Linked DNA regions of Solanum lycopersicum. The protein of the gene in region 1 binds, or shares a complex with, the protein of each later gene. Links are inferred from orthologs where the notes say so. Each region holds a gene or a part of one and is shown in the gene's direction. Other genes may lie near its edges. The genes, in order: large ribosomal subunit protein uL10c; large ribosomal subunit protein cL38; large ribosomal subunit protein bL31c; 50S ribosomal protein L6, chloroplastic; 50S ribosomal protein L27; large ribosomal subunit protein uL5c; large ribosomal subunit protein bL9c.

The links.
Region 2: large ribosomal subunit protein uL10c (region 1) and large ribosomal subunit protein cL38 share a complex: the UniProt entries of both Arabidopsis thaliana proteins name them as parts of the 50S ribosomal subunit. The link is inferred for Solanum lycopersicum from reciprocal best matches to the Arabidopsis thaliana genes EMB3136 and PSRP6.
Region 3: large ribosomal subunit protein uL10c (region 1) and large ribosomal subunit protein bL31c share a complex: the UniProt entries of both Arabidopsis thaliana proteins name them as parts of the 50S ribosomal subunit. The link is inferred for Solanum lycopersicum from reciprocal best matches to the Arabidopsis thaliana genes EMB3136 and emb2184.
Region 4: large ribosomal subunit protein uL10c (region 1) and 50S ribosomal protein L6, chloroplastic share a complex: the UniProt entries of both Arabidopsis thaliana proteins name them as parts of the 50S ribosomal subunit. The link is inferred for Solanum lycopersicum from reciprocal best matches to the Arabidopsis thaliana genes EMB3136 and emb2394.
Region 5: large ribosomal subunit protein uL10c (region 1) and 50S ribosomal protein L27 share a complex: the UniProt entries of both Arabidopsis thaliana proteins name them as parts of the 50S ribosomal subunit. The link is inferred for Solanum lycopersicum from reciprocal best matches to the Arabidopsis thaliana genes EMB3136 and RPL27.
Region 6: large ribosomal subunit protein uL10c (region 1) and large ribosomal subunit protein uL5c share a complex: the UniProt entries of both Arabidopsis thaliana proteins name them as parts of the 50S ribosomal subunit. The link is inferred for Solanum lycopersicum from reciprocal best matches to the Arabidopsis thaliana genes EMB3136 and AT4G01310.
Region 7: large ribosomal subunit protein uL10c (region 1) and large ribosomal subunit protein bL9c share a complex: the UniProt entries of both Arabidopsis thaliana proteins name them as parts of the 50S ribosomal subunit. The link is inferred for Solanum lycopersicum from reciprocal best matches to the Arabidopsis thaliana genes EMB3136 and RPL9.

What each region holds. Positions count from the first base shown.
Region 1 is NC_090803.1:3,526,254-3,528,960, forward strand, and holds large ribosomal subunit protein uL10c, read left to right. Parts: upstream 1-1,143; 5' UTR 1,144-1,247; coding exon 1,248-1,937; 3' UTR 1,938-2,076; downstream 2,077-2,707. UniProt on the Arabidopsis thaliana protein: This protein binds directly to 23S ribosomal RNA.
Region 2 is NC_090803.1:63,903,546-63,905,750, reverse strand, and holds large ribosomal subunit protein cL38, read left to right. Parts: upstream 1-1,305; coding exon 1,306-1,641; downstream 1,642-2,205.
Region 3 is NC_090803.1:66,609,335-66,612,000, forward strand, and holds large ribosomal subunit protein bL31c, read left to right. Parts: upstream 1-1,319; 5' UTR 1,320-1,469; coding exon 1,470-1,538; intron 1,539-1,622; coding exon 1,623-1,943; 3' UTR 1,944-2,109; downstream 2,110-2,666. Other genes in the region: mannan endo-1,4-beta-mannosidase 7-like, read left to right, coding at 1-175. UniProt on the Arabidopsis thaliana protein: Binds the 23S rRNA.
Region 4 is NC_090811.1:69,213,252-69,215,426, forward strand, and holds the end of 50S ribosomal protein L6, chloroplastic, read left to right. Parts: intron 1-1,053; coding exon 1,054-1,390; 3' UTR 1,391-1,594; downstream 1,595-2,175. UniProt on the Arabidopsis thaliana protein: This protein binds directly to 23S ribosomal RNA and is located at the aminoacyl-tRNA binding site of the peptidyltransferase center.
Region 5 is NC_090810.1:58,850,317-58,854,625, reverse strand, and holds 50S ribosomal protein L27, read left to right. Parts: upstream 1-1,411; 5' UTR 1,412-1,458; intron 1,459-2,697; 5' UTR 2,698-2,704; coding exon 2,705-2,971; intron 2,972-3,651; coding exon 3,652-3,753; intron 3,754-3,824; coding exon 3,825-4,010; 3' UTR 4,011-4,233; downstream 4,234-4,309.
Region 6 is NC_090808.1:1,642,690-1,646,284, forward strand, and holds large ribosomal subunit protein uL5c, read left to right. Parts: upstream 1-1,403; 5' UTR 1,404-1,572; coding exon 1,573-1,824; intron 1,825-2,252; coding exon 2,253-2,798; 3' UTR 2,799-2,998; downstream 2,999-3,595. UniProt on the Arabidopsis thaliana protein: Binds 5S rRNA, forms part of the central protuberance of the 50S subunit.
Region 7 is NC_090810.1:57,591,443-57,595,528, reverse strand, and holds the start of large ribosomal subunit protein bL9c, read left to right. Parts: upstream 1-1,199; 5' UTR 1,200-1,344; coding exon 1,345-1,482; intron 1,483-1,597; coding exon 1,598-1,725; intron 1,726-3,268; coding exon 3,269-3,314; intron 3,315-3,450; coding exon 3,451-3,548; intron 3,549-3,623; coding exon 3,624-3,671; intron 3,672-4,086. UniProt on the Arabidopsis thaliana protein: Binds to the 23S rRNA.

The sequences.
Region 1 (2,707 bases):
TGTTCATTACCGATTATTAATACTTATCTCAAATAAAAATCATAAATCATTGAAAGATTTACTTTTGCTTATTTTATTAATAATTAAACTAAAAATTGAATATACATGTGATTATGCCCCTTAAAACTATGAGACTTACGTCTTGTGTCTCAGGACATACGCCTCACCATATACTATGTAAAAGATTTCACCTCACGCTCTGTCTTTACTATACAGATACAATCTATTCAAATATTATATTTATTAAAATAATATAATATAATATAATTGAAGCAAAGTCTAGGACCTGAGCAGAGAAAATAACAAAAATATCACTTGTGATTTTGATTACATTCAGAAATAATTTTTGAATATTCTTGACTCTTTAAATTTATTTTAAGCCAGCATTTTTAATTGATAAACTTGTAGATACAGATATACATACTTGAAAAAGGATTGACGAGGTGTAGAAGGAATAATATTGAATATGGTGAATTTTAGTAGTAAATAATTTAATTATTATTAATATTTGTATGAGTTATATTTGATAGGAGTATTATTTTATATTTAATATTTGATTTGACGTAAAGAAAATAATCTGTATTACATCAATTTTGAACAAAATTCTTTATTTATATAAGTATCTTTCACAAATATAGTAAAATGATGTTAAAAGAGTTTTGAAGAGCAATAGTGATTTTATTATGCTAATGCATGAATATTTTTTTTTACTAATATCCACATAATTCCATATCTTATATACACCTTAATGCCAAATACATCATATAATATTTGCATTGATTATACTTAATGCGACTCTACTATGAAATTCAAACAAAATTAATAAAATATTTTAATATAGAAGAAAAATTGATATGATTATTATATTATTTTTTTAAAAAAAAATTAATAAAGCATCTGAAAATAATGATAATATATATTTAAAATAACTGATCGAATCATAATTAATATCTTTAAATATAAGATAAAATAATTTTACATTTTATGAAATTATTATCTTTTATATATCATATCAAATCATCTCAAGAATTTTGTTAATAATAATAATAAAAATATATCTAACATAATTTTATAAATTAAAGACGATAAAATATATGTAAATATTACACCTATTTTGCCTTTTTTAACTTCTTTAATGGTTTGTTTGGTATGACATAAATATTTTCAAAAACATAAAGTTTATGAAATACCCCTAAATTCTATCTTAGCACAAAAGATAAGGCAATCCAATTCTCAAGCTATCATCAATGGAGGCTGCTCTCTTCAGCTTACCTTCCTCTTCCTCTCACTCTTACCCATTTTCCGTGAAATCCCACTTCAACAATCCCTTCATAATCCCCCATTCCAGTTCTCACCTCAAACTCAAACCCAGAACTCTAACTATTCGTTCAGCCATTAGCAGAACCAAGAAAGAAGAAACAGTCGAAACAGTGAAGCAACAGCTTGAAGATTGTTATCTCTTAGCTGGAATCAGTTACAAGGGGTTAACAGTTAAGCAATTTCAAGATCTTAGGGCTCAACTCCCAGAAACAACAAAGCTTCTTGTTGCTAAGAACACATTGGTACTTAAAGCAATTGAAGGGACAAAATGGGAAGCATTGAAACCATGTATGAAGGGAATGAATGCTTGGTTATTTGTTCATAGTGAAGAAATCCCAGCTGCTTTGAAACCTTATAGGACTTTTCTAAGGGAGAAGAAATTGGAAGATAATGATTTTACTGGTGGGGTTTTTGAAGGGAAGTTTTATGGGCCTGATGAGTTTAAGGTGCTTGAGAATTTGCCTACAAGAGCTGAGATTTATTCACAGCTTCTTGGGTCTTTGAAAGGACCTGCTTCAGCTGTTGTTGGGACTATTCAAGCTCCAGCAAGGAATTTGGTTATGGTTCTTAAGGCTTATGTAAAGAAATTGGAGGAGGAAGAAGGTGGAAGTCAATAATTTTTGTTGTAATTCTTGGATATGGTAAGCTAATACTATTGTCTATTTGGATCAATATTTGAAATTTTTCTGAGAGATGGAATTTTGTAAATTTTATGTTTTTGGTAGAATGAATTTATCCTTGGCCAATTGTTCTAAATTTGTGTCCTCGTATTTGGCGGATAATTATCTGGATTACTTCATAACTGTTTGAGAGGATTTATGTTATGTGAAATGTACTATTCTGCTCTTTCCATTATCACTGAACCAAGAAAATAGTCTGTATTCCTGCTTCAGCTCACTATATTTGTCAAATATTAAAAGGGCAGCTCGGTGCACTAAGATCTTGCTATTTGCTGAGTTTGGGCTTTGGTAGTAGTCTGGAGGAAGTGTGTAGCTTTATTCTTGCAGTTTCTTGCTATTGTTATATGTTGATCGCACTATATTGTTGACGTTATTGTTTCTTGCATGTATCCTCTGCAGTGCTTTCCTATTACTAGTTCTCATGTTTTCCTTATTGTCGTTTTCCCTTTTTGTTAGTACTTTCATTTACTTCACTTGAACTGAGGGTCTTTTGGAAACAACCTTTGTACCTCCACTAGGTAGAGGTAGGGTTTGCGTACACTCTACCTTCCCCAGACTCCACTTTTTGGGATTTCTCTGGGTGTGTTGTTGTTGTTGGGAAATGCCGGACCACGTTGCATCTATTGTTAGCTACTTTAGTTTGCATTTCTGCAAAAGGTTGTTTCTGTGCTTAAACCATGACCTCTTGGTGAATTGGGCAGCAACTT
Region 2 (2,205 bases), about 60 Mb from region 1:
GGTAACCAACTCATTTTTACTCGGCTATAGGATGTTTTGGGCTGATTAGTGCAGATGAAGTTGGTCAATCCATTAATCTTGATGATTCATATAAGTGGGGGAACAATAAAGGTCACGGACTACAAATGGGATAGACTGGCCTATAATATTACTCACAAGGCTAACAGTAGATGCAAAGAGACGTATATGTTTGTTCTTTTATGTGTAAGAATCATACTCAGGTGTATTTTGTATGACCTACTTATTTTCAAGTATCTTTTTCACGGTGTTTGATTGTCATGTAATAATTGATTGAGTCGCCTTCAACATCAAGTGATTGAGTTCACGTTTGATGGATAAAAAACACTATTAATCCTTCTGGAGTGGGGTGATTTTACACATATATATTATAGCAAGGAAAGAGTAATAGGTACACGTGAACTCAAGTTGTGCCTAAATAAGCAACTAATAACAAAAAAGTGTTATTATGGTAATGAAAAAATAAAAGTATCCATTCAAGTGAAGTTTACTTCAATATCATCGAAAAAGGAAGGAAAATGAAACGATTTGACACCAATTGAAGGAACAATTTAACCTTTTAGAAGTAAAGTCATTTCCTCTAAACATGTAACCTACTAATAGTCAACATTCACTTCTCATAGTTATGTCCAAAATACAACTACTATGCTCCATATATTATACAATAACTTTTATATTAAATCATATAATATCAGAGAAAGATTAAAATAATTATGACTAGTTGAAAACATTACCAAACATACAGACACAAGTTGAGGAATTGTGTCCCATGATCTTATAAGATTATTACTCATTTGAACTCAATTAGGCCGTGTACTTTTGACTCTAAATTATATTCACTTATGTACTAAAATTTCATAAACTATTCTTTAATCACAATGACCTTTGGGTCTCTAACTAAGAATTTCTCCGTCTCTGCCCTTTATACACACCGTCCATCGCTCCTATCGATTGTGAAGTTACGTTTAGTTTTCAGACTTAATATATGAACATAAATGGTAAGTTATTATTATACAAAAATATAAACTATACATAAATTAAAGACCAACACTAAATAGAAGCAAAAGTGTAAATGATCCCACAGATTTATTTGGGCCAGACCAATTGTTGTTCTACTACATCCAACACTCAAATAACCCAAAAGGGCTTTAAGGCCCAAATGCCAAACGGTGTCGTAACCTTAGCAGAAACTGAAGTCACCAGAAGATAACGAAGGCAATCCACTTCAAAGGTTCCATTAAACACAGCCAGAAGAAGGAAAAACCTTTGAAGAGAAGAAAAAAGAAAATGTCAGCCTCCGCCATATTCGGGTTGCAGATGGCGGTGTTGCCGCGTTCCTCAACTGTTTCAGCGACCGGATTCACCGGCGGAGCCACCAGGTTGGCGTCGGCACCCACAAGTATCGGGGGATTGGTAATTGAGTGCTCATCTAGGCCACAGAAGAAGGCTACAGCTCACCATAAGAAGACACGTCCACGGAAGACTCAAGCTTGGGATATTCGACGTGGACCAGCTGTTTATGCTCCGTTACCTCCCTTACCATCGGAGTGGTCCTTTGCCAGTGATGAATCGGGTCAACCCGCTGCCGCCGGAGCTTCAGAGTCCGACGCCAAATCTGAGTAATTTTTCTGTAACTTATCATTTCGGCTTTTGTATAATGGTGTTTTCCGTCTGATACTTTGGGGAAATTTGCAACTTGTTCAATTGCAGTTTTGGCGCAATAAGTGATTTGAAATGAATGTTTTACGCTTTACTTTTTAATCTATTCAATGCCACTGGATAATGCCGTAGCTTGTGAGATAATAAACAATATCCTTCGAATATCGGTTCCGTATAATAAAATAGCAAAATTATATATTATGTAAAGCAAATATCAAATGTGATCGGGGAGAGGGGTCTCGTACTAAAAACAATGAATGAGAAAACAGTAGCTATGTTTGTATTTGCATTAAGGCAATATACTCGCTCATTCAACATCGGAATCCTTTGAACTATGTCGCAACAACCATTCCGATCAAAACCAAACTATCCAGTAGATTAGACGAGCCAACAATGTACATTTTATGTTCCTACTGTAAATGGCATATTTACAAAGTATGAAACCCAATTATTTGCCCTCCAGACAACATTTACCAAGGCCTCAAAGCTTTTCTTGAATCTATCAATTATTCAAAGACGGGAAACAAA
Region 3 (2,666 bases), about 63 Mb from region 1:
TTTGGCTGAAGGAATGGATTCATTTAAAGATGGATATGAGATTATATTGAGTGAAAGTTCATCTGTTTCTGATATTATTATTCAGCAATCTAAAAGGCTTAATAAGATTAGAAAAATGTATGCAAGGTTGAAGAATATAGAGAAGTGGAAGAAAGCAAGGAAATTAAAGGATTAATCATGAGAATTAGAGAGATTTAATTTATGTTAGAGATGAATTAATTTAAGTTAGCAAGAAGTTAGATAATGTTTTTTTTTTTTTTTTTTTGGTAATGTACTGCTCGACATGTTGTATGTCAGAGGAAGTATTCTAGTAGTGATTTATTATGCCTTAAAAAAAACATCGATTGTATCGATGTATCTAGTGTAATTTCATATGATTTTATTTTATGAAATTGAAGAGTTTATTTTTGATAAATTAAGATATTTCAAAGCATATTAAAAAAGAAATATAATAGTAAAGAAATTATTTTTTTTTAAAAAAAAAGATTAATGAATCAATACAACGTGTGGGATAACAAAAATTGAAAGTAGGACAAGATAAATAACTTGGATTTGCTTATGGCGGTAAGCACAACATCACTTCTGTTTATTCAAACACTTTATTCTTATCAAAGATTATAATCGAACTAAGTTATTATCAATCATGCCTGGTTGAATTAATCTTTCAATAATATGTAAAAAAAAAAACAAAAAACTATTTGGTAAACTCTAGATACAAAGGAAAAAGGAGGATATTTGATTTATAAATTGGCCAATTTGTGTTACACGTCTCGGAGAGGAGAGACCGATAGTATTAAATTCAATGGTCAAGAAGTCGTAATTGACACTCTATACATGGTGGGTGATATGAGTATAAATATAAATAATCTACAGATAATATTTTATTAGCATTATTTCTCCAGATGGTTAAGACTTGGAACTTTTAAGTTAGAGGTCTTAAGTTCAAAATCACTTGCCAGCGAAAGTAAATTCTGGGTTGAGCTCATCGCACCGAATTTGCCTAATGCAGATTATTTCTCCTATGTGATTTGCGAACTAACGTATAGGAGCGGGAGTTTTACCATGTGCCCACCCAAAAACAGCGATTACTTAAAAATAAAATAATAAAAATACTTTTGAGATTAGTCAAACCTTTTTTCTACTAGGGTAAATGATATTTTTACAACAAACAAGTTTTTCTTAAAAAAATATGCAATACTTATGCAAGAAATCAAATTAGTAATAACGAATCAATAACTAATCCCAAACAACCCTAACGAGTTTAATCCATTTTTGAAAGAGTATTTACATAAATGGGCCTTACCTACTCCTTGGGCTTCAAGTAATAGCCCAAAAGTAACATCATACAAAACTAGCCCAAGTAGAGCCCAATCAAATATACAGCCCAATATCCTCAGATAAGCAATCTAATCTTCAACCCGTTCCTCTTTTTCTCCATCTCTCATTCTTCTTCTGCAAAAATACCAACAATGGCGCTCACTCTCTCCAACACTTTCCTTCAAAAAAATGTCGCTCCTCCTTCATTCTCCTCCAAGAAGGTAACTCCCCAAAATCTCCATACCCATAACTTTTTTTTTTTTTTTTTAAAAAGTATATGATTGTTGAAAAATTGAATTTTGCAGATGGGAATTGGGAGCAATCAAATGCGATGGAGCTGCAGGAAGAAGGATATACATCCGCAATTCTACGATGACGCTAAGGTATATTGTAATGGAGAGCATGTGATGACAACTGGGGGAACAAAGAATGAGTACACAGTTGATGTTTGGTCAGGTAATCATCCTTTTTATCAAGGTAGTCGTTCACAGCTACTTCTTGATGCTGACCAGGTAGAGAAATTCAGGAAGAAGTTTAGTGGGTTAACACAGATTATGCAAATTCCAACTCTCAAAGGAGAGATTGTGCTTCCTCCTAAGAAGAAGAAACCTACTAAGAAGAAGTAGACTTTATTGTGTGTTTGTAATTCCCTTAGTTCGTTTCGTAAATGGGGAAATTGTTGGAGAATTAGGGGTTTTGTGTATTTTGTGTTTGTATTTTGATGGTTTCAGTTGTGAACTCAGTCTATTATTTGAAAATGGAAGTATAAAAATTCAGTCTTTGTTCTTCAAATTTTTGGATTTGCTGTTGTTGTTATATGGTTCATCAATTAGTTGGGCTGGTAGAGCATTTAAGTTGAATCCAGTGAATTGTCTTGCTTTCGATTGCCATTATTGCTTCGACTATTGGAATGTAATGAGCCTAATAGAGCTGAATGGATACAAAAAAATTGTGTTAACTTAAAACAGTTTGGATCAGGTGTAGTTCATTGATCATAGTTTACGTTCAATAGTTTCAAATGAGTTGTCTTTCACCCCTTTACCTGATAAACTGAACGAAACTTGTCCGTTTTGCACTATCTTGGTGTAATGTTATACCTGTGATTGGAAAGGCTGATTGTTTCAGGGTTTCAGCCGTCCCTTGAATCCTTGACAAAGTAAAGATGAAATAAAGTCTGTTATAGATTTGGTGTCTTGTCTTTTGTATGGTTGCATTAGCCAAGCGTTCTAATGTTAGTTGTACTGGTGCTGTGGTGCACTTCCATTCTTGCAGTTTACTGTGTAAAATGCTTTTTGAGAGTTGTCTATCAAGCTGGCTGGTCTCTTCTCATACTAAAAAAGGGAAGGTGC
Region 4 (2,175 bases), on another chromosome or scaffold:
CTTAGGGAAGATCATAACTAATCAGATAAAAACAAGGGAAACTTCCTTTTGAGACATACTCACAGTAGTGAGGTTGAGTAAAACTCTTAATCTTATTCATGTGTATCTGCTCTTTTGAAATTACGGCAAAATTCTAAAGCACTCTCGAATAACCAGGCAAGCCAGTTGTCTATTATGCATTAGCGCAAAACTGCAATAAACAATAGAAATTGTGGGAGTATAATGTGATGAATAAGAAACTTAGCTTACAACTAGAATTTTTAGTTCGTAAAAGTTATCAACTTTGCCAATTATTCTGTAAGTCAAATCTTAGCATCTGTATTTGGTTCGTAATCCAAAAGATACCAAATGGATCCATTATACTCAAAACCCAGCAAACTATCAAAATATGTTTTCTTTCTTCATTTTATAGATATTCTTTTTGAGATGTGCGTGGGATTGTTGGAAATTTGGAAGTATCTCATAAGGAAGTGTCCCTTGTTTTTATCCACTTATAGTTTATTGTTTTGCCCTTACTTTAAATGGTCAAACTAGCCGTTAACTAGTCGTTGTAGAGTTTTAGGAGCTTTAATAAAGAACTAGTTTAGGTATAATAACCATAAATCATAAGGTTTTTGATGCTAGTTTATACTAGATGAGCTTGTTGAATCCTAGGAGATACGTTTATATGATTGAATATCCTTACAGAAAGTGTCATACACACGCCTTAAGCTAGAAGAATATCCATGATTTCAACAATTAGACGTGATTTTCAACTTGGAATTTTCATTTACACGACTCTCGTCTCTGATGATGATGATCATCAGTTTCACAGAATTTTGTGATAAAGGTATGATTCTGCACCCCAAATGATTTCCTCTCAACTTCAAAAGCCATAATATGTGTCTTACACCAACTCTATCAAACATTCTGCCAATACCTACGGACTGTATATAAAATTTTTCATAATCTTATCACTGTTGTTATGTTGGTCAATTCTAGTGACAATGTATAGATGCACATATTTTGAGTGTTTACTCTGAAGATGTTCTTTTTCTTCATCAAACTCGGCAGGACTCTAACTGATAACATGGTAGTCGGCGTTTCCAAAGGATTCGAGAAGAAACTTCAATTGGTAGGGGTTGGATATCGTGCAACCATCGAAGGGAAAGACATAGTTCTCAATCTCGGATTTTCTCATCCCGTTAGGATGGAAGTTCCTGCTGGACTGCAAGTTAAGGTTGAAGAAAACACCAGAATCACTGTAAGTGGTTACGATAAGTCAGAGATCGGTCAATTTGCAGCTTCAATTAGAAAATGGAGACCTCCAGAGCCATACAAAGGTAAAGGAGTGAAATATGCTGATGAAATAGTTAGAAGGAAAGAAGGTAAAGCAGGCAAGAAGAAGTAAATCATGGTACATTTTGTCATTGTTTTATTGTATTTTTCTTAGAGCTATTTTGAAGTTAGGTTCATTTTGCAAGTGACTTGACAAATTTTTTATCTTGTGGATCCCTTTAAATATAAGAGTCACACAATTTGAATATTGTATGTAATCTGGTTTCCCTTACATTTCTTTTAAAGCTGTTCTGAAAAAATTAAACGATTTTCTTGAGCTGAGGGTCTATCACATTAAAAAACAAAGTATGTCGTTGTGTTCATGGAGGTGGTTGCATTCAATAAAATATTTACAAATTCATGAAAAATGAACATAGTTTTAGCAAGAACGCAATCGTTTTCTAAATCGATAAATTATAATTGAACATTTATCTTTCAATAAATTAAATTGTAACCTTTTCCTTTAATATTGAAAATACGTTGTATAAATTCCACACATGAATAAGTAACAATACAAATTTAATCTCAAATATAATTCTTTTGATAACAATACTCGAAACAACGGAACTTAATACAAATGAATGTGAATGTATTCAAACATTTAGTCTAAATAATTGACTATTTTGATAAATAATTGATAATAATTACTCTCCAAAAATATATATTTTAAATGTATTTTTGACCATTTATTTTAATTTCAAACACTTTCAATGAACCAAACTATATATGAGAAAGCAGTAATTATAGTCAAAGCAGGGAAATATACATTTAATGCACATGATCATTTGATTCAAAGGTATTTAGAATGCATCATTACACAATTCAACATAGCATTAAAAATAATTAATAAAATAGTTA
Region 5 (4,309 bases), on another chromosome or scaffold:
GGATTGTATTTGCAATCTCTAACTAAAAATGGTGAAATTCTGAATTATTTTAATTTTCCATCACAATCTTTATCGGTATTTTACTATTACATGTTAAAACCATTGATGTATTTGCACATATAGATTATATAGCATGATGTTGGATTTAATTATTTTATTGTATTAATTTTATATATTGAAATTTAGATATATTTAAAATGTTCACCTAATATTATTTTTTAACCAATAAATATATTTATTCTTTGAAAGAATTAGGTTCATGGCATTTATATTCTCCACTTGTTCTTGTCCTATAAAAGTAAATAAATTAAACAATCTATTTTACTTTAAATATTCTTCTTTTAAATCCTTTAATTTACCAACACAACTTTTGACTCGAGCAATCAATTCCACTAACTAGTTCAAGAAGCATAATATGAGCAATTTTCAAGAATAATGTGGCATTATTGTAGGTCGGCGTGTTAAATAATCGGGTTGAATTAAAATTTAAAATATTAAAATGAGTTCAAATAAAATTTAAGTCGAATCATAACCTCTTCAAATTATGTTAGGCTCAAATAGGATAAACATTGGATTGGATCATGACCTGTGCGATTTGACATGTTTAATCTCAATAATTTAAACATATTGTTATTTTCCTTTAATAACTATTATTTGAATTTTAATTCAATAAAAACAGTTATAAAATTGATATATAAATCATAAAAAATATAAAATAGATTCTAATTTATGCATTCAATATGAGAACATAAATTACACCAATACAAAAAATACTCTTAAAACATGTTGAAATTAGAGATTACATTGGACACAATTAAAAATTATTTTAAAATGGGCTAAAACGTAAATAAGTTGAGATTGATCCAATTCAAAATATCTAGAGCTCCCGCCTATAAAATTTTAAATGAGTTAGACGAGTTATATATATTTAGGCTCATTTTGACATTCTTAACCGTACTTGTATGGAGGTATGCAAAAAAAAATTATTCTTATACTTTTTATCGAAAAATCATATTATATATGCCCGTAAGTAGGAGTATGAAATTTTCTCGATAAAAATTAAATTAAAAATTTTTAAATATGATTTCATTTTTTGAAAATACTTTTCGCAGAATATCAATTTGAGATTAAAAAACGTTTTCAAAAATATAAAAACAATCACTTGGATTTTAGTTTCGAAGAAAAGATATCTGAAAAAACATTTTATTTTACTAATTAAAATCATATTATTCCCCTTTACAAGTTCGATAAAAATATTTACAACTTCAATATTTATAAGCAAAATTAATTTATGTCCATAACTTATGTTCGATAAACGAAACCATTAAACTTAACCCGAAAACAAGCTAAAAAAAGCCCAATTCAAAACGGGTCAAGTATATTATAAAAAGGATGGCTGACATTTCTCTTATCTTTTTATCTCGAAGATTTTGCCATTGTGGCTCCATAATCCCCTCGGTGAGTTCATCTCTTTTCCCCTCTTCTGTAAATTCAATGTTTTTTTCTTGTACTATGTTTAATTGGGTGTTCGAAAATGTATTTAATTTTAGCTGACTCGCAAATCTTGGTTTACTATTCTCTCCATTTCAATTTGTTTGTGTGGTTCGACTTTGGCAAATAATATAAGAAAGTAAAGATTTTTTTTTAATCAAGTGGGGTTGAAGTAAAACTAATGTTATGTCGAATGTATCAAAATGTTGTTTAATGTGAAAAGTTAGAATTGAAGAGTTGCTATTGGAAATTGAAATGGAGGGGGTTAGTATTTATGCTTCACTAGGATTTGAACTTGAGACGTTATGGTTATCAATCTACTTTATTGACCGCTACTAATATTTTAGGTGGACTGCAATCTTGATGAACATACTAGTGTTTATTTTGTTGTTGATACTGGTTTCCTTTGATTCCTCTTTGTTTTGTGGTTTAAAGACTTGTCCTTTATGATTAAATATGGTTCTTTTATGACCAATTGCTTGCGTAAGGACTTATTTGCGGAATATTTTGTGGTGTAGAGTTTGCGAAATGCGTTTGTGGTGGAGGGGGGTTGATGTTTGGTGTAATTTTGAAAAGAAAAACAATGAGTGGAAGTAATGTGTATTGAAATGCAAGAGATATATAATGGAGTAAAGATAGTTGTAATGAGGACTTAAGGTACTTCTATTGTTAGGAGTGTGTGTTTTGTATTTTTTTTGAAGATTGATAATAAGCTCAGCAAATTGGTTTTATATTTTGATAAAGCTGAGTATTAAGAAATGACAATATTATCTAAACAGTGGTTGGAGCGAGCGATAAGGAGAAAGAGCTGAAATCGTAGTAAAAGGAAATGACTTATCTCATAAGTGAGAGTAGTTATTTCCCCCTTTTGATGGAAAACTTTTTTTCTTAGGAAATATGTTTAGGACCATTTTTATCACTCTTCTACTGTTTTAGTCATACCGAGCAGTGTTAAAGTCAGAGTCAAACCTTCTGTAGACTTACTATCAAAAATATATTTCTCCAATTTGTGTTCGCGATGATCCGGGGAAATTTTAGATTGGCGATTAAGATCCTTGGTAGTTGTTATGGTAATAGTTTTGTCCTCTTAGTAGTTCTATGCTCATATTTTTCCCATTGTTAAATATCACTTCCTTTCCTTTAGGCCTCTCATCTCTGATAGTAAGTACCACGAGAGGCTACTGAATTTCTTTGTTTTCTTTGCAGCGTATAAATGGCAGTGAGTTTGAGTCTTGTTTCCTCATTCAAAGGACTCTCCTTATCTTCCAATTCTCTCCTTGGGGTTTCTCTTCCCATTGCCCCTAAGTTCTCCGTTTCCTTCCCGTTGAAATCTCCATTGACAATTGAGTCTGCACACAAGAAAGGAGCTGGTAGCACTAAGAATGGTCGAGATTCTCCTGGACAGAGGCTTGGTGTCAAGATTTATGGTGACCAAGTCGCCAAGCCCGGTTCTATAATCGTTCGCCAGCGCGGTACAAAGGTTTCAATTTTACTTCTTCTGGATCTCCTCTCTCTTTTTTATTTTTGCCTAAAACTCGTATTTGCTGTGGAAGTTCTGATAGTTCTTTTGATTAATTAATAGTGCTTGAAATGAATTCGGATGAACCCACCCAAGTAGAGTGTAATTCCAGTTTTTTTGCTCAATACCTCACAAACATACTAGGTCCTGGCATCTTGTCAATAACTCTGCTCCATTCGTCTGGCTTTCTTCGTTTGGTTTGTATATTATTTGTTAGAAATATGTGGATTGTCTAGAGGGCGTTAGATTGAGTACAAAACAAGGTACTAGAGGGATACATATCTTGTCATTTGAAGTAACAGATTGCTATAAGGTTTAAGGTTTTGAGCTCGTGTCGTGAAGACATAGTTGGAAGTTCTCTTTAAGAAATGCACATTTGTTATAATCCGACTTGAGTTTTTTTTCTTTGCCGAAAGTGTCAGTTTCTGACAGTATGATGCTATGAGTAGATGTCGTCTTCTATCAGTTAGATAGTAAAAGGGTTTATGCCAGAGGTTGGTATTAGTTTTACTTTTTTTCGGCTCTGATATGATCCTGTTATCGTCTGTTTGTTTGCTCTAAGAGTAGTTCAAAAGTTGCATTCTCCGTTTAGCATTGCCATATATTCTGTTCCCTAATCGTTCTCGTGGTGATATTTCCAGTTCCACCCAGGAAAGAATGTTGGACTTGGCAAAGATCACACAATATTTTCTTTGATTGATGGACTAGTCAAATTTGAAAAGTTTGGACCTGACAGGAAAAAGGTTGAGTTCTTTAGCTTACTGCTTGTAGATATGTGGTACACGAGTGTTATTAACGTATACTGACTGTGCAGATAAGTGTTTATCCACGCGAGGTGCAACCTGAAAACCCCAACAGCTATAGAAACCGAAAGAGAGAGTCCTTCAGATTACAACGTGAACGTAGAAAGGCACGAAGAGAAGGTGTCATCCCTGAGCCTCAGTTGATAGTTGCTTCTGCTGCTGAATCCTCTGAAGATAATCCCATCACCACTTGCTGATAATGGTCTTTCGATTTTTCAAACATTCTGTTGTCGTTTTGGTTATTGCTAGTAGCTACTTGGGAACACATTTGCAGGCACATTTTCTAAACTGTGTTTCTGCCATTGTTGTCTTTTTTTGTTTGTAAATTGTGTTACTGAAAGCATGAGTCTTTGTCACAGTTTGTATGAGTACAGAATGAAATGTATGATTCAGAAGATGCAGCTTTGCACAATAGCACAACCAAAAGAGTTTTGAGTTTTCATTCGGTTTAAGTGTTCAGTTGGTAAAATCACAACTAAAATAATCCAATTTCAGA
Region 6 (3,595 bases), on another chromosome or scaffold:
ACTTTTGAGGTTCCAATCCCATTCGATGTGAAATTCTTTTATTTTCACCTTTATTCAAGGTAAACTCATCCAAAATAAATAAATTATAAACGAAGTTCAAATAATCTAAGTAAATACAAGTATAGAAGAAATGAGCGAAATTAGGCTATAAATGTAAACAAAGACATGCCAGTGAAGAAACTGGCTAAATAATAAAGATTAGGTTTATTTAATGAAATGGGCCACTACGACGTTAAATTTTCAAAAAATTATCCAGCCCACAAACCAATTTAGACTTGGGCCTACCTCATTCCAGTCTAATAGACCCCAATATTTTCTTGGTAAAAATTTTTGTTGGGCCAATAAAATTTGATATAGTAAATTTCATATATAACAAATACAAAATTTATATTTGTATGATATAGCAAAGTTTGTATACTTGCGCTCGGTGACAAATATAAATATGCATAATTCCCTATATACATATACAAAGAAAGCAGTTGTATAATTCACTATACATATACAAAAGAAAGCAGTTGTATACAAAAGATAAATTGTATAATCTGCCATTTGTGTATGTATAAAACGAGAAAAAGAGAAAGACAAAAGAAAACTGAGCAGGAGAATATTTGTTTTGTATAATTACAAGTGTATAGGACGAAGATATATGTATTTACATGTGTATATACAATTTTCTCTCGCTTTATACAAACAGAAATGCAATTTATACATTTCGTTTCTGTTTGAATAAGCGAGAGAGGCGAGGGAGATTCGGGAGAGTGGTGAGTGAGATTTGAGATAGGTGAACAAAACTATATGTATCTATACAATTTTCTCTCACTTTATACAAACGCAAACACATTTTATACAATTGTGTTTGTATAAAAAACGAGAGAGGTGAGTGAGACTGTCACAAAACGAGAGTGGCGAGCGAGATTCCACCAGGGAGAGTGGCGGAAATAGCAATAGTTTGCTATAGGGTACAATTAAATCAAAGTATATTTATAACATTTAATTTAAATTAACAGTTTGCTATTATATACAATTTTCCTGATTTGATACGATCTTCATTCAATAATTTTTAGCCCAAAACTTAAGCTAACATTTAACCATAAATTTCATCATATGTTTGGCTTAATTTTTGGAAACATATTTCACTTTTTTTAAGAAATGTATACTAATAAGTTTTAAAAGTTATCAAAACTAACTATAAGTTTGTATTGCATAACAAAATAGAATAAAAAGATTCACTATCGTAACAATTAGTGTCCATGTCACTGAAGCAATATGGTAATTCAGAGATAGTGCAACAAGCATCATTGCATACATTATGAAGTAGACGAAACATATTGTTCGTCACTTTTATCAATAATCATATCGTCATTTTCTTATTTACTGAATATTACATCATTATTTTGATGTTCACGTAAAAAATTTTACTTGAAAAATCTATGGCGAAATGGATCCGAATTTTTTTTACTTAAACATTCACAAATTAAAATTTAGTAGAGAGAACTCTGTTATATCCACAAAGAACATCTTATCCAATTACCCTTTTATTTTTCACACACAGAGAGAAAAAGCTCAGAGAAAATGGCGGCTTCTCCTCTTCTTCTACACTCCACGGCCTCCTCTTTCTACAATGCTGAGTTTCCGGCGTACTCCGTTCGATTGCCGGTCGGAAATACCAAGGTCCGGTCGTCCAATAAATTGACGGTGAAAGCTTCAGCAACAGTACTAGTGGATAAAAGTGAAGCTGAAAAAGTTAATCGTCTGAAAACAAATTACCTCGAAAAGATTGTGCCGTTGTTGAAGGAAGAATTCAGTTACACCAATATTCTTCAGGTAAACTTAGGAGTCGTTTGTCCATTGCATTTTTTTTCCAGAACAGATAAAAATTAGGGCTTGGGAAAGGGAAAATGGGGGAATTGAACAAATTTTTCAGTTTTTAAAAAAGCTTAGTGCAGGTTCAAACACAAATTCAATTTTCAATTATACTTTTCAAGTTAATTTCAATTTCAAAGCATATGTACTTCTTTAGCTTCAAATTTTACAACTTATATCTACAAATTTGAACTGTTTCTTGTTTGTTTGATTAAATGTTGAATTTTAGAGTTGAAATGCTGAGAAATTAGTTTGTTTGACACTATTATCATTTGAGGAGTGAGAAATCACAGTGAATATTAGTTGCATTGACCTATTGCTTCAAACTCTATTATTATTTTTTAGTTTTAATTTGATTTGATACGGAATGTGGAAAAACCGTGTTTTAGGTTCCGAAGGTCGAAAAGATTGTGGTAAATTGTGGTATAGGAGATGCTGCACAAAATTCCAAGGGTTTGGATGCAGCAATGAATGATTTGGCCTTAATTACAGGGCAAAGGCCTGTGAAGACTAGGGCTAAGAATGCTATTGCTACTTTCAAAATTAGAGAAGGTCAACCGCTTGGAATTGCTGTTACACTTCGAGGGAATGTAATGTATTCGTTCCTTGACCGGTTAATTAATTTGGGGCTTCCTCGAACGAGGGACTTTCAAGGCGTAAACCCCAATAGCTTTGATGGTCATGGAAATTATAGCATTGGCTTTCGTGAACAGAGTGTCTTCCCAGAGTTAAGTTATGATGCTCTTGGTAAGCCAAGAGGGATGGATGTTTGCATAACAACAACAGCTGAGACAGATAAAGAGGCACACAGATTGTTGGCTCTCATGGGTATGCCATTTAGAGAAGGTTCTGGTGGACAGACAACTTTTACGAAAAAGAAAAAGCTTAGAGCTCACCATTTTGACTCGAAGGCGAAGCAAAGGTCTAGGAGATGAGGTGGATCCAATCTCCAGGGATAATGAGTTGATTTGTTGTTTTTTAACTGTTTTGTGGTTTATCAGTTGTTTTTGGCGTACAATTTGAATAGAAAAATCTGTAATTGCACTTTTACCATCTGGCTGGTGATGTCTCGAATATATGTTATTTACGTTTTCTTCCTCTAAAAAAAAAAAAATAAGAATTGTTTTTATCTCTAGTTAAGTTTTTACTATTCATGAATCTTGATTACTGTAATTTGTATGTTATTAAATATTTCCTACCCGCTCCCTTTTCTCGTCTGCCATTTACTTTGATTTCAGGCAAAGAGTTTCTCTTGTTAGCTCCACCATATTCACATTTAGGTGAGTTAACATCTCTGCTTTTATCTTTTATCGTATGTGATAAGGAGTATTTGCGGGCGATATCTTATTTACGTTTTCTAAATTTGTCCTAATGCTTAACACTTGATGTGTGTGAGGCTGTGGAGTCCCATACTTATTTCTACTCCCTGATCCCCCACCTTTCTCCTTTCTTCCTCTAAGGTTTATTTATATTCGCATATTAGAAAGTCACAGTTATTTATAGTATATACCATGTTGCTGAATCTTTATTCCCTTGGCTTCATTTTATTCTGCTCAAATTGTACAGAGTTTTTTCTTTCAAAGTGTGTATGAATGTGCTTTTTAGTGGTTTCAGGTTCTATGTCATTTGATTTGGTTTTAACCTGTTCTTGTAATGCTGCATTCTGATTTTGCTAGATCTCCATACTGGTACTCCAAGATAGATATCTAAGCCTATTCTTTGGTTGTTTGCC
Region 7 (4,086 bases), on another chromosome or scaffold:
AATACAAAACAATAATGTATGAGAGACAGAAAGAGTACGCTTTTACAAGTATGACTTTGATGAAAAAAATATGGCTAAGTGAATGTAAAATACTCTCCCTCCGGATTTAGATGACAAACTTTTTTTTAGTCAATTCTAAAAGAACGATACATTTCTTTATTTGATAAATAGTTAATGACACTGTCAATATTTTGTAGATGACTGGATCCCACTTATTCGACAAAACGTCTACAAAGTTGTGTTCTTTCTAAGGATAGTTTTGAGATATACAAAGTATTTTCATATTTTTTAAACTTCGTGTCCAATGTCCACTACTTAGTCAAGCAACACCACATGAATTGAGACGGATGGAGTATTATGTTGGGCTGTTTTTTTTGGATAAATTTTAGAAATCACATAATTTTAATATGAAATTATAATTCATCCCTCTTTAGTTTGTAATTTCATTAATCCCTTAAAAAGTAACACAAATCGGATACATTTATATGTAACTCGAATACATTAAAGAGTATCTTAGATGCATTATAGCATAAATCGGATGCATAATATGTAGTTCAGATACATTAAAAACTAGATCGGGTACATTATAAAATAAATCGCATACATAATATGTAACTCGGATACATTAAATACTAGCTCGGATACATTAATATGTAGCTCGGATACATTAAAGAAATAATGGATTTTAGAGGTCTTTAGAAATAAAAGGGGATATATGAAAATAAGGAAAATATAAGACGTGTATTTCAGTAAGGGTAAATGATAGAAATCTCACTTTTAAGTTCTCTTACTATTATTATCCCCTATTAGTTTTACAAATCTCCAAAATCCCTCATTTTCACACATCAAATTAACGTATCAGCACATCAAATTAATGTATCTCGCACATCAAATTAATATATATCACGCATCAGATTAATGTATATCGCGCATCAGATTAATGTATCTTGTATAAAGTGTACATCAGATTAGTGTATTATGTATAAATGTAATGTATCGTACTTAATGATTAATGTATCTCACACATCAGATTAATGTATCAAATGATACAATAATATATTATTGTATCATTTGAGAAATTTTTGTAATTATATACTTGTAAAAAACAAATGGTAATTTTGCCTTAAAAGTATGTGATTTCTGTCCTTCGCCCAAATAGCCTAAAATATTATAATTGGACTAAGAAATGGGCTTTACATGAATTGTCCCAATAAGTTTTGTTGGCCCATTAAGACATCCATTATCTTCTTCAGTTCGCCATTACAGATAAGATAACGCTATAAACTGTAAAAAATACAGAAAAACGGAGCAAAAAGTGAAGAAAAGAAGAAGGAAGACTTAGCTATGGCGTCATGGGGTTCATCTTCTTGTCTCCAAAATTACAGCTTAACCAAAAACCCATTTTCCGAAACAGTGAAATTTTCAGAAAGAACTTCAATTTTAACAATTGTTGCTCAGAAAAAAGCCAAGAAAGTTCGAAAGGTGAGCTAATTCTTGAAAATGTGATAATGGGTTGGATTTATAATTGTCAAAATCTCATTTTTTGTCCATTTATGGTTAATAGCTGAATTGGGTATTTTTTGTTTTGATGGAACAGATAATACTGAAAGAGGATATTTCACAGTTGGGTAAAAAGGGAGACCTTTTGGATGTTAAAGCTGGATTCTTTAGGAATTATTTGCTACCATTGGGCAAAGCTCAAATTGTGACAGCTGCACTTATCAAGTAACTCGTTTAACTCTACTTTGAACTAGATTTTTGCCATTTGATTTCATTGCCTTTTAGGTTCTTCTTTCATTAGCTGTACTTTTGTGGAGTTCGCGGTTGTTTGGTAGCTTGGTAGAGTTACGCAGGTATCAGTTATTTCGTCTTGTAACCTGCATAAGATAATACATTATATATTAGTTAGGTAGGTTTTTGAATTACAAATTAAACTTTGTGTTGATTTTATACATGAATAACTTATTCTCTAACTAACTGCCAAACATTGTATTACTTATACATTAAGTTAATATATGAGTAAGTTGCTTTTTTACTAGCTACAAAACACCCCCTTAATGTTTGTTAAAATTGGTTCTGCTTGTGTTGGATGGATTTTTAAGTATTCCTTTTGGAGACTGTTAGTTGATTTTAAGTGTTGAATATTCACATTTCCAATCACCCTGTATAGTTTAACGGCATAATCCACAGTGTGTCATGGACACCTGATGTTGATGTGGCAAATATATTTGGTTGGTGCCTAGATGATCATTTTGTAAGTTGGAGTGTTCAACTGACACAGTGGAGATGAGTTGAGGTGTAGATGTGCATACTCAAAGTTGGAGTGTTTTCTTGCTAGTTGATGCCGAGTTTGAGTGTTTTCTTGCTAGTTGATGCCGAGTTCAAGTGTCTGTTTCTGCATTATGACTAGTTAAATTATCGACTTAACCTTATTATTGAACTCAAGACTTTGGTTCTTCTGTTCGTTATCTTATTTTCATGCCTCATAATTAATGTCAGGATTCTTTGGTTCAACTATTTAAAATGCCACACACAATACTTTGCTTGGCTGTTGATGAGTGGAAGTATGTTATTACTATTGCTTGTTTTGTTTTATCTTTTATCTAAACCAATGGACCTATGTCGAATGGAGATAAAATAGGTATACTTAGTCTATGGGATCCTTTAAACTAATTGTAACTAGCTGAAAAGTGGACGGACCCATGGATTATACATATCTTCGTGCAAAGGTCGTACCAGAATAATCATTTTCGATACTCCTTGAGCAGAAACTCTGTATGGCTTTGGTGTTATAACTCTTGGTCAGTACACAAACTCTGTATGGCTTTTGTTCCCTGAAATAGTGCTTCGTATGATTAATGATTATAGGTTTAAGTAAATTCGCTTCTTTTAACCAAATATAATTTATTGATAACGGATTCGTCTTCAATACAATGTCCCACAATGCATAAGATGGATAATGGTTGGATATAAAACTTTAGATTTCCTACTACTTAGTGACTTTGTCTTTAGCTTTTGGGTGAGCAATAGGCCTAACCAGCTGTTAACATTAATGGTGTGATAGTCCTGTAAAAGTCTTATATATAAGGGATTTGCTATTTCATACTAAAGAACAAAACAAATAGGTGAAGGCTTCGTTAGAGATGGTTGTTAGAAGCAATTTTGGTTTGATATTTTTGATAGCTATTAGCGTGCTTCGCCATCAGTGAGAATTAACTAACTTCATGGATGCATTTTTATTTTATAACATTATGTACTTTTTACTCAGGGAAATGAAGATGGAAGACGAGAAAATTGAGGCTGAAAAACAACGGGTAATTAGATTATTCTGATTAATCTAATCTATTGAAAGTTGAAAAATATATACATTTTTTTTTTATTTTCAAGTCACTAAAAGTCTAAAAGAGTTTCATAATGAATGTGGTTTTAGTTAAACGTTTTTGATTTCAGGTGAAAGATGAGGCACAACAGCTTGCTCGAATTTTTGAAACTATTGGAGCCTTCAAGGTGAAGCGTAAGGGTGGGAAAGGAAAGCAAATATTTGGAAGGTCAGTGAAATACTAAATTGTGATGAGCAACTTGGTGAATATTTGATCTACCTTTTGACGTCATCTCTCTTGCAGTGTCACTGCTCAGGATCTCGTTGATATTATAAAAGCACAGATACAGAGGTACCATTTTCCAATCTTTCTGCCATAGCATGTAAATAGTAGTATGCGAACTAATTACTACTATATGTTCATTGAAGACTGTTAAAGTATATTGTCCTTCATAAGGTTGATCCTGTAATATGAATTTGCATGAACTTGAAAACTGATGTTCTCTGATTCATCTGGTTTATTAAGTAATTCAAATATTTTTCATGCAGTGCTTATTTTCTTGTGTGATTCCTTCTGTGCGATGTTACTTACTCGTTAACATCAGTCATCGAGAACAGTGGAGTATACTGATTCCATTTTCCGTCTATTGCTAGAGCAAAAACTGTTTTTTTGAAGCAATGTGATGTCTGTTTCTTGATCACATAGTAGCTTTCTACTACCCCTCTGTCCCCGAAAAAAGAAAGAGTAGAAAGGATTGAAAATCTGT